Alligator mississippiensis: one gene and its partner. The protein of the gene in region 2 binds, or shares a complex with, the protein of the main gene of each other region. Links are inferred from orthologs where the notes say so. Each region holds a gene or a part of one and is shown on either strand. Other genes may lie near its edges.

Evidence for each region.
Region 1: ITPR1 (region 2) and PRKG1 share a complex: the UniProt entries of both Homo sapiens proteins name them as parts of the cGMP kinase signaling complex. The link is inferred for Alligator mississippiensis from reciprocal best matches to the Homo sapiens genes ITPR1 and PRKG1.

The regions. Positions count from the first base shown.
Region 1 is NC_081829.1:65,211,478-65,215,221, reverse strand, and holds the start of PRKG1 (cGMP-dependent protein kinase 1), read left to right. Parts: upstream 1-1,205; 5' UTR 1,206-1,723; coding exon 1,724-2,034; intron 2,035-3,744. UniProt on the Homo sapiens protein: Serine/threonine protein kinase that acts as a key mediator of the nitric oxide (NO)/cGMP signaling pathway. GMP binding activates PRKG1, which phosphorylates serines and threonines on many cellular proteins.
Region 2 is NC_081835.1:11,705,826-11,709,569, reverse strand, and holds the start of ITPR1 (inositol 1,4,5-trisphosphate receptor type 1), read right to left. Parts: upstream 2,849-3,744; 5' UTR 2,775-2,848; intron 1-2,774. UniProt on the Homo sapiens protein: Inositol 1,4,5-trisphosphate-gated calcium channel that, upon inositol 1,4,5-trisphosphate binding, mediates calcium release from the endoplasmic reticulum (ER).

The DNA.
Region 1 (3,744 bases), on a different chromosome or scaffold from region 2:
GCACCTGGATGTTGCTGGACCAGGCCCCTTCTATTGCCTAAGTGTAGAAATCAAATGTTAGTGCTTCGTCCTAGCACATGCATGTTTGATAAATCATGCTTGATAAATCCAAATGTGCACCTGGATGGAGCAGTTTAAGCCAGCGTACCAGTGTACCAGTATAGGGATTTTTCTCTGGAAGTAGTTGCATGTGTTTTGTTATTTAGATTACAGTATGGGGGAGGGGAGGAAGGCAAAGGGGAAAAGGGACCAACACTTGCCAGGAGTAAGTAGGATTCCTCTTCCAGACAGGATTTTTTATTTTTACGGGACAACTGAAATTGTATGATGGCTCTTGAAAATTGGTAAAACCAAGGAATTGTAAGTGGTGTTCAGCCAGGATTTGGTTGGGTTTGCACTGTTCGGTGAAGTAGAAAGATACTCATTCTCTACCGAGCTAGTGAAATAGGAAAGATAGGAACTAAGTAAATCTGGATCTGCAGGATTTTGGTACAGATGCCATTTTGATGCCTTTGTTGTCGGATGTATCTAATTGAGATACTTGGGGCTTGCACCCTGGGAGCAGCTAGCCATGTTCTTTCTTCAAGCAGTGTTTATTTGGGTGATTACTGTCAGAACTGGTCCAGTTCAGTAGCATTAAGATGACATCTGGTTTGGAAGCACCCTGTAACCAGGATGTGTGACATGCCTGCTTTTTGGCTTTAGGGGTGGGACTGTGCCTGTGGGGTCCAGTGCTATGTTCCAGACCAGAGTTTCACTGTGCCTGGGGCAGGGGCTGCCAGGCTTTCCTTTGGTGGGGCAGGAGGTCCTCCCTGCTCCCCACACACCGGGTAGAGTTGGAGGAAGCTGGGCTTGCCCTGTTGAGCTTCCCACCACAGGAGCAAAGCTTGTGCTTGTGTATGTCTGCACCCTAGGGCTTCAGCTCCCCCCAGATCACTGGAACTCGAAGGCTTTGCTCCCTAGCAGTGCTTGTTGCCTGGTTTTCCTGACGGAGACTTAAGGAGTAAACAGACAGGAGTGCAAAGCCGGCCGGGGATGCCCAGGCAAAGCGGGGGCGTGTGAAGAGGACCGTGGGGGCAGCGGAGATCGTGGTTCGTGGCCGGTTTCCAGGGGCAAGGCAGGCACATGTGAAATGCTGCGCCTCGCCTGAAAGCCCGAGCTGTGAGCGGCAGGGTCTGCCCCTCCGCCGCGGGCTGGAGCTCGGCTCGGCTCGGCTGCGCTGGCCCCGGAGCGGCCCCCCCGGTGCCAGAGGCAGAGGGAAAGTGCATGTGCTACGGCATCCTGCAGACGCCCCTTTCCTCCGTGCCCCCTCCCCCTCGGTGAGTGTGTGCCTCTCTCCAGTCTTAGCCTGACGCAGGCAGATCGAAATCACCTTTCACGCCCCAGCCTTCAGCGGAGTGGCGCCGCTGGGTTTCCCTTTCGGATTATGCCTCTAATCCTCCTCCCATAACCGAGCGCGGAGCGCGGCCAAGTCACCCCGGCGCGGCGCGGCGCGGCGCGGCTCTGCTCGGCGCGGCGCGGCGTGGCGCGGCTCGGCGCAGGCTGCCGGCTGGGGGCTGGGGGCGTGCTTCAGGGGCGAGCGGCATTTGCCGGCGGCAGGTCGATCCGGAGCGATCGGCAAAGTTGGCCGAAGTGGGAGGCAGCGGCCACTTGGGGGAAAGTTGCCGGGAGCGCAGCGGACGAGCCAGGCTCCGAGGCAGGAGCCGGCGGGCCGAGGAGGAGCATGGGCACTTTGCGGGATTTACAGTACGCGCTGCAGGAGAAGATCGAGGAGCTGAGGCAGCGGGATGCTCTCATCGACGAGCTGGAGCTGGAGTTGGATCAGAAGGACGAGCTGATCCAGAAGCTGCAGAACGAGCTGGACAAGTACCGCTCCGTGATCCGGCCCGCCACGCAGCAGGCGCAGCAGCAGGGCTCCGGCACCTTGCAGGGCGAGCAGCGGACCAAGCGGCAGGCGATCTCCGCCGAGCCCACCGCCTTTGACATCCAGGACCTCAGCCATGTCACCCTTCCCTTCTACCCCAAGAGCCCACAGTAAGCAGGGGTTAAGCGTTGTGTGCATCTGGCATCCTGTCTTTGGTCCTTCAGTGGTCTGTATTGTCTGTCCATCCACTTGTCCAGGCGAGTCCCTGCACCTCCCGCTTGCCGTGTCTGTTCTCCTGCCCGCGGCTGAGCCCGCGGGTAACGCTGCGGGCCGCTCCGGGGGCTGCCCTGTCTGTCTCGTGCCCTGTGTGTTTCCGCATTGCTGCTGCCTCCTGCGCCTCTCGCCTTTCCTCCCGCTCCTCGTCCCGGCGCGGCGGGGCCGTGCTGTGCGCTCCCGCGGGGCCGCGGCTCGGGGTCCCCCCGGGGTCGCGGGGCAGGGCAGGGGGAGCCGGGCTAGAGCTGCTGCTCCCTGCCCGCTTGCACACACCGTCCTCCGGGCCTCACAGCTCAGCCTCGAGCCTGCGGGAAGAGCCCGGCGCGCTTTGAAACAATGGGCGAGCGGAGCCCCGCGGTGCCCTGCTCCGGGAGCGCGGCTGCAGCTTGTTTCCTCGCCGGCTGCTCCGTCTCCCACCCGCCATCCCTTGTGTGCGTAGCTGAGCGCTGTCATCTGGCAGCTGACACCTTGCGGCCGCCCTCCTGCGTCCCCGGGCGGAAAAAACATCTTCTCTTTGGCGCCTCGGGCGGCCTCAGCCTTGTGCCCTTCCCGGCCGGGGTGAGGAGCCGCTCCCGGGGGAGGGAAAGCCGGCGGCCGGGCGGGGGCGTCCAGCCAGCAGAGCCCGCGGCTCCTGCCCCGGCTCCACACCGCCTCAGGGAAATCGCTTGGGTTTTTTGGGCGAACACCTGTTGAGGGACGAGGCCTTCTCTACTCCCCAAGTTTGGAGAGAGGGTGGGGAAGGCAGACAACGGCCAGGTGTGCGGACAGTTTATAGCCCTGGAGCCCGTCATTAGGTCTTATGGAGGGCTCTGGAGTAATAGGCATCAGGCGATTGATTGTAGTAGGAAGGAGAATGAGGAGGCAAGAGTGGGGTGAGCAAGGATCAGTCTACACAAGATAGAGCTTGTCTTCAGACTCCCTCCAAGTCCTGCTGGAAGTGATCCACAGCTTGGCAGGCAGGGGGATGTGGAGTGACTGGGGAGGTAGAGCTGAGGAGCCCCGGGCAGCTGTGGGGATTTCCTTCTTGGCTGAAGTTCGGTTCAACTAGGGACCAGCCCAGAGGGAAGATCTCGAGGCTGGAAACCTGTGCGGTGTTTTCATCGCATTCACGGTCTAAGCAACACCCTTTCTCCCACAGTTGTTGTGTCCTCTCCACCCTGCTGGTTGGGAGCTTTTCAGGGGGGAAAAGCCCTGCACGGCTATCTTTCTGCAACTATATGTTGCTTGTCCCCAGAAGAAAGGGTGAAGGGAAAGTTTGTAAGAAATCTCTTTTTTAAAGCTTTTAAATAAGTCTGTCCTGGTTTTACACTTCCCATCAAAGACTATGCAAACTGATATGGTTTTCTCCATTAAAACACAAGGAATATCACATCCCCCACACTACTTAATTATCTCTATAGCTACCCAATAAACCTTGATGTATTTGGTTCAATCATCATGAAAAAGCTTGTATACTTTTTAATTCACTTCTTACATCAAAACACATCAGGAGCAGCTTCATTTCTTATCAGCATGATGATCTCAGAACCAGTCAGGTTGAAAATAAATGCATTTTGTGTTGAGTGTAAGTGTTTTACAGCTGAACACTCAGAATTAGGATATTCTTC
Region 2 (3,744 bases):
ACCCTCTCCTGACCGTATGTAAAAGTAGCTGGTTACAGAGAAAAAAAAGCCATTTCCCACACTTTGGCTCCTCCCTCATGTTTCAAAGGCAAACTGAAGCTAATCACACTGTTTTGTTGACTTCCTCCCGAGTACCAGCATAAAAGGGGTCCAAACAGCTCCATATTTCAAGAGTTAACGATTGCTGCACTACCAGCAGACGGAAAACACTTTCATGTAAACAGGCCGGGTCTAATGTCAGCGGTGGAATGGCAGATTGAAGAGAAAAAACAAACTGGATTATTCATCCAATAAAGACCATGTCAGAAGGTCAGATTCCCAGGTGGGCCCTATTTGAGGGCTGCTTTGAAAAAACAAGGAAGCAGTTCTCAAACTTCATCCAGCACCCCCCCACCAACTCAGTCTGTCCTTTGCTGCTTGGCATATGCCAAAGTTACCCACATACAGAACCCCTGCCCACACCGCCGCTTTCCACTGACCGACTCGCTCCGCTCACATCTCCTTTGACAACAAGCGAAGCTCGGAGAAATATGCCCTGTGTGTCATATCAGATCTCCTGAAGGCAGCGCTCACAGCTATTGTCAGTATTGGCCAGGCAACTGGTGTGAGGCCACTGGCACTTCACTGTAAGCATGCAGCATTGTTACCCACCGAGCACACAGGAACAGCGTACTTGATGACCATTTACTCTGACCCCCTGAGATGAGTTTCAAGCAAAGCAGTGCTTAAAACAAAACAATGGACAATGCCCATTTCATCATCCACAGAAGTGCATTTCTTTTGTCCTAGGCAGGTTAAGTCTCAAAGGGTGCATCTTGCACCCCTTGCACTCTGGACTTAGCAAGAAAACAAGAAGGGTGCAGAATTAAGGGCTTTGAACCATAGGCTCCTGGGGAAGGCATGCCATGCACACACCTGTTGAGAGAAAATTTATCTGCTGCCTTATCAAAAACAATAAGGGCATGTCTTGACCGCCCCCAGACCATAGTAGTATAGTCCTCCAGCAAGGGGCCAGAAGCATTCAAGTATGCCCAGACACAACAATTACTGCAAAGGCCCAGGACCCCTAATAGTGGCCACAGTGCATCCCCCCTCCCTGGGTAAGACACATGGAGCAGGCAGGTTGTGAGCACAGTCCAGGCACAACAGATATGCCCAGTGTTGGAAGAAGACAGGGGATACCGAACAACCCTGAGCAAAGCCTTCACTTCTCCAAAATTCACATCTCAACATGTCTGCTTTTCATTTGGAAATGGACTCCCTGTGCCCCAGCAGCCAGATTTTAGGAAGTCTGTCACATCTGGAGTCCACAGGCCGTTGTCTTTCTGATTTGCTACTTTGTCCTACAGCACAACCCACTGCACATACCCAGGCTGTGGGACTGGATGGCAAAATTATTTGATGCAGCCATGAGAACGGTGTGTCTGTGTCAGGGGGCCAGGCCTAACCCTGTACTGTTCCACTAAACTGGCTGTTACATACTTAGTACTATACAGGAAAGTCCCCCCCCCCCCCCACTTCCTCCTAGGAGACCACAAGCTGTTGCATTAGACCAGATGTAATATCTCCACATGTTCAGAGGAACGACAGGACGGGACTTAAACAAGCAACCAAATCCAAAAATGTCCAAAGTAGCTAGCAAATAATTAGGCTTTTATCAACAGGATGCAAAACAGCAGAGAGTTGCGAAGCACTGGATTTCTTCCCCGACCCCCTCCCTACCCTCCTTAAGTCTAGTTATTGTAGTCCAGGAAACCACTAAATATTTAGTACTTGTGGGTGGATATTTTGGAGGGTCGTGGTTACAACTGCCCAGCATTTGACCATTTAAAGAATATGATCGTCTATAGCCAAGTTCTCCAATAGCATTCATGTGTGTTTACATAATACAAAACATCCCTATAACTCCGTGTCAAGCATAAAAAAAGCTATAAAAAGTTAGTTCTAACACATTCCCCCTAAACCATCGTGGCAGAGGCGCAGGCCTCACCCAAATCCGAGTCCCTTCAAGCTTAAGATGGTCTGAAAAAAGAAATCTCATGTACTTGGGTTGTTTTCTGAAGGCAGGGCGGGGGAGAAACAGCCGAGCTGAAAACATGCAAGTTACATCCGTCTCATCCAGAACCACTTGACTTCAGGCAGCATTTTTTGTTTCCCCCCACCCAATCAACTAAAACGGTTTTCCAGTATACAAACGCAGTGATTTATTGGGCTGAGAAAGGGACTGCTGGATCTCCCCCAAGCTCGGCTCCTGCCTCCGCCGCGGATCCCGTCTGCCCAGGACACGGCACGTCTCTCGCCCGGGCTCCGGATCCGTGGACGGGGACTCGCAAGAATCCAACATCTCTGCCCGGGAAGCAAGTTCAGCTCACATAAACAAGCGACTTCCTCACACTCCTCCGCTCGCGCCAGCGGCCGCGCGTCCCCGTTACACGCGCCCCGTGTCATCCCACTCCTGCTTTTCCTTCCGTGTCCCCACATCTAGCCCTCGACACCCCTCGCCCTGCCAGGAGGAGCCGGACGCTTCAGCCCACGGCCGCCCGCCCGTCTCCTGCCCTCGGGCCTAGCCCACCTGTGCAGCCCGCACCTGCAGCCCAGCCCAGCCCAGCCCGAGCAGCCAGGGCCCCAGCCCCCACTGCAGCAGGGCAGCTGGACCAGCCCCAGGGACGAAGCGGCAGGAAGGAGAAGGACCAGGGGCAGCGGGCTGTGCCCAAAGCATCCCCCGGGGAGCTCTCCCCGCCACGTGCCCGCCACCGGGAGGATGCCCGTCCTACCTGCTCAGCAGCCACCCGGCGCTGCCATGCTCCCGCCCGCCCCGCGCCGCGCGCCGCCCGCACACATGCTGACTGCGCCCGCCGCCGCGCTCCGCGCCCGCTTATATGTGCGCGCCGGGCGCCTGGGTAATGTAGTCCCGCCGCGCCGCCCCGCCCCGCCCCGCCCCGCCGCACCACGGCACCCCCCACCCCATCACGTACAGCTGGCACCGGCACCAGGAGACCCCCCCCCCCCTCCAGCCGTGTCCCTCTAAGTGTAACCAGAAGTCCTCCCAGGTGTGGCTGCCACTGGCACCAGCAGACCCCCCAGCAGTGCCCCTCCAGGTATAGCTGGCACTGGCACTAGACCCCCCCCAGCAGTGCCCCCCTCCCCAAAAATAGCTGGCATTAGCACCAGAAGACAACCCAGCCATGTCCTCCAAGGTATAGTTGCGTACTGGCACCAGAAGACTCCTCAACAGTGTCCCCCCAGATGTAACCAAAAGACCCTCTCAGCAGTGTCCCCCCAGGTATCACTGGCACTGGCACTAGAAACCCCCCTCAGGAGTGCCCCCCCCCCAAAAAATAGCTGGCATTGGCACCAGAAGACAACCCAGCCATGTCCTCCAAGGTATAGCTGCGCACTGGCACCGGAAGACCCCTCAACAGTGTCCCCCCAGATGTAACCAAAAGACCCCCTCAGCAGTGTCCCCCCAGGTATCACTGGCACTGGCACCAGAAGACCCCCCCAGCAGTGTTTCCCCAAGTGCAACCAAAAGACCCCGCAGCAGTGTCCCCCCAGGTACAACCAGAGGACCCCCCAGCATTGCCCCCTCCCCGGTATAGCTGGCACTGGCACTAGACCCCCCCCCCAGCAGTGCCCCCCTCCCCAAAAATAGCTGGCATTAGCACCAGAAGACAACCCAGCCATGTCCTCCAAGGTATAGCTGCGCACTGGCACCAGAAGACTCCTCAACAGTGTCCCCCCAGA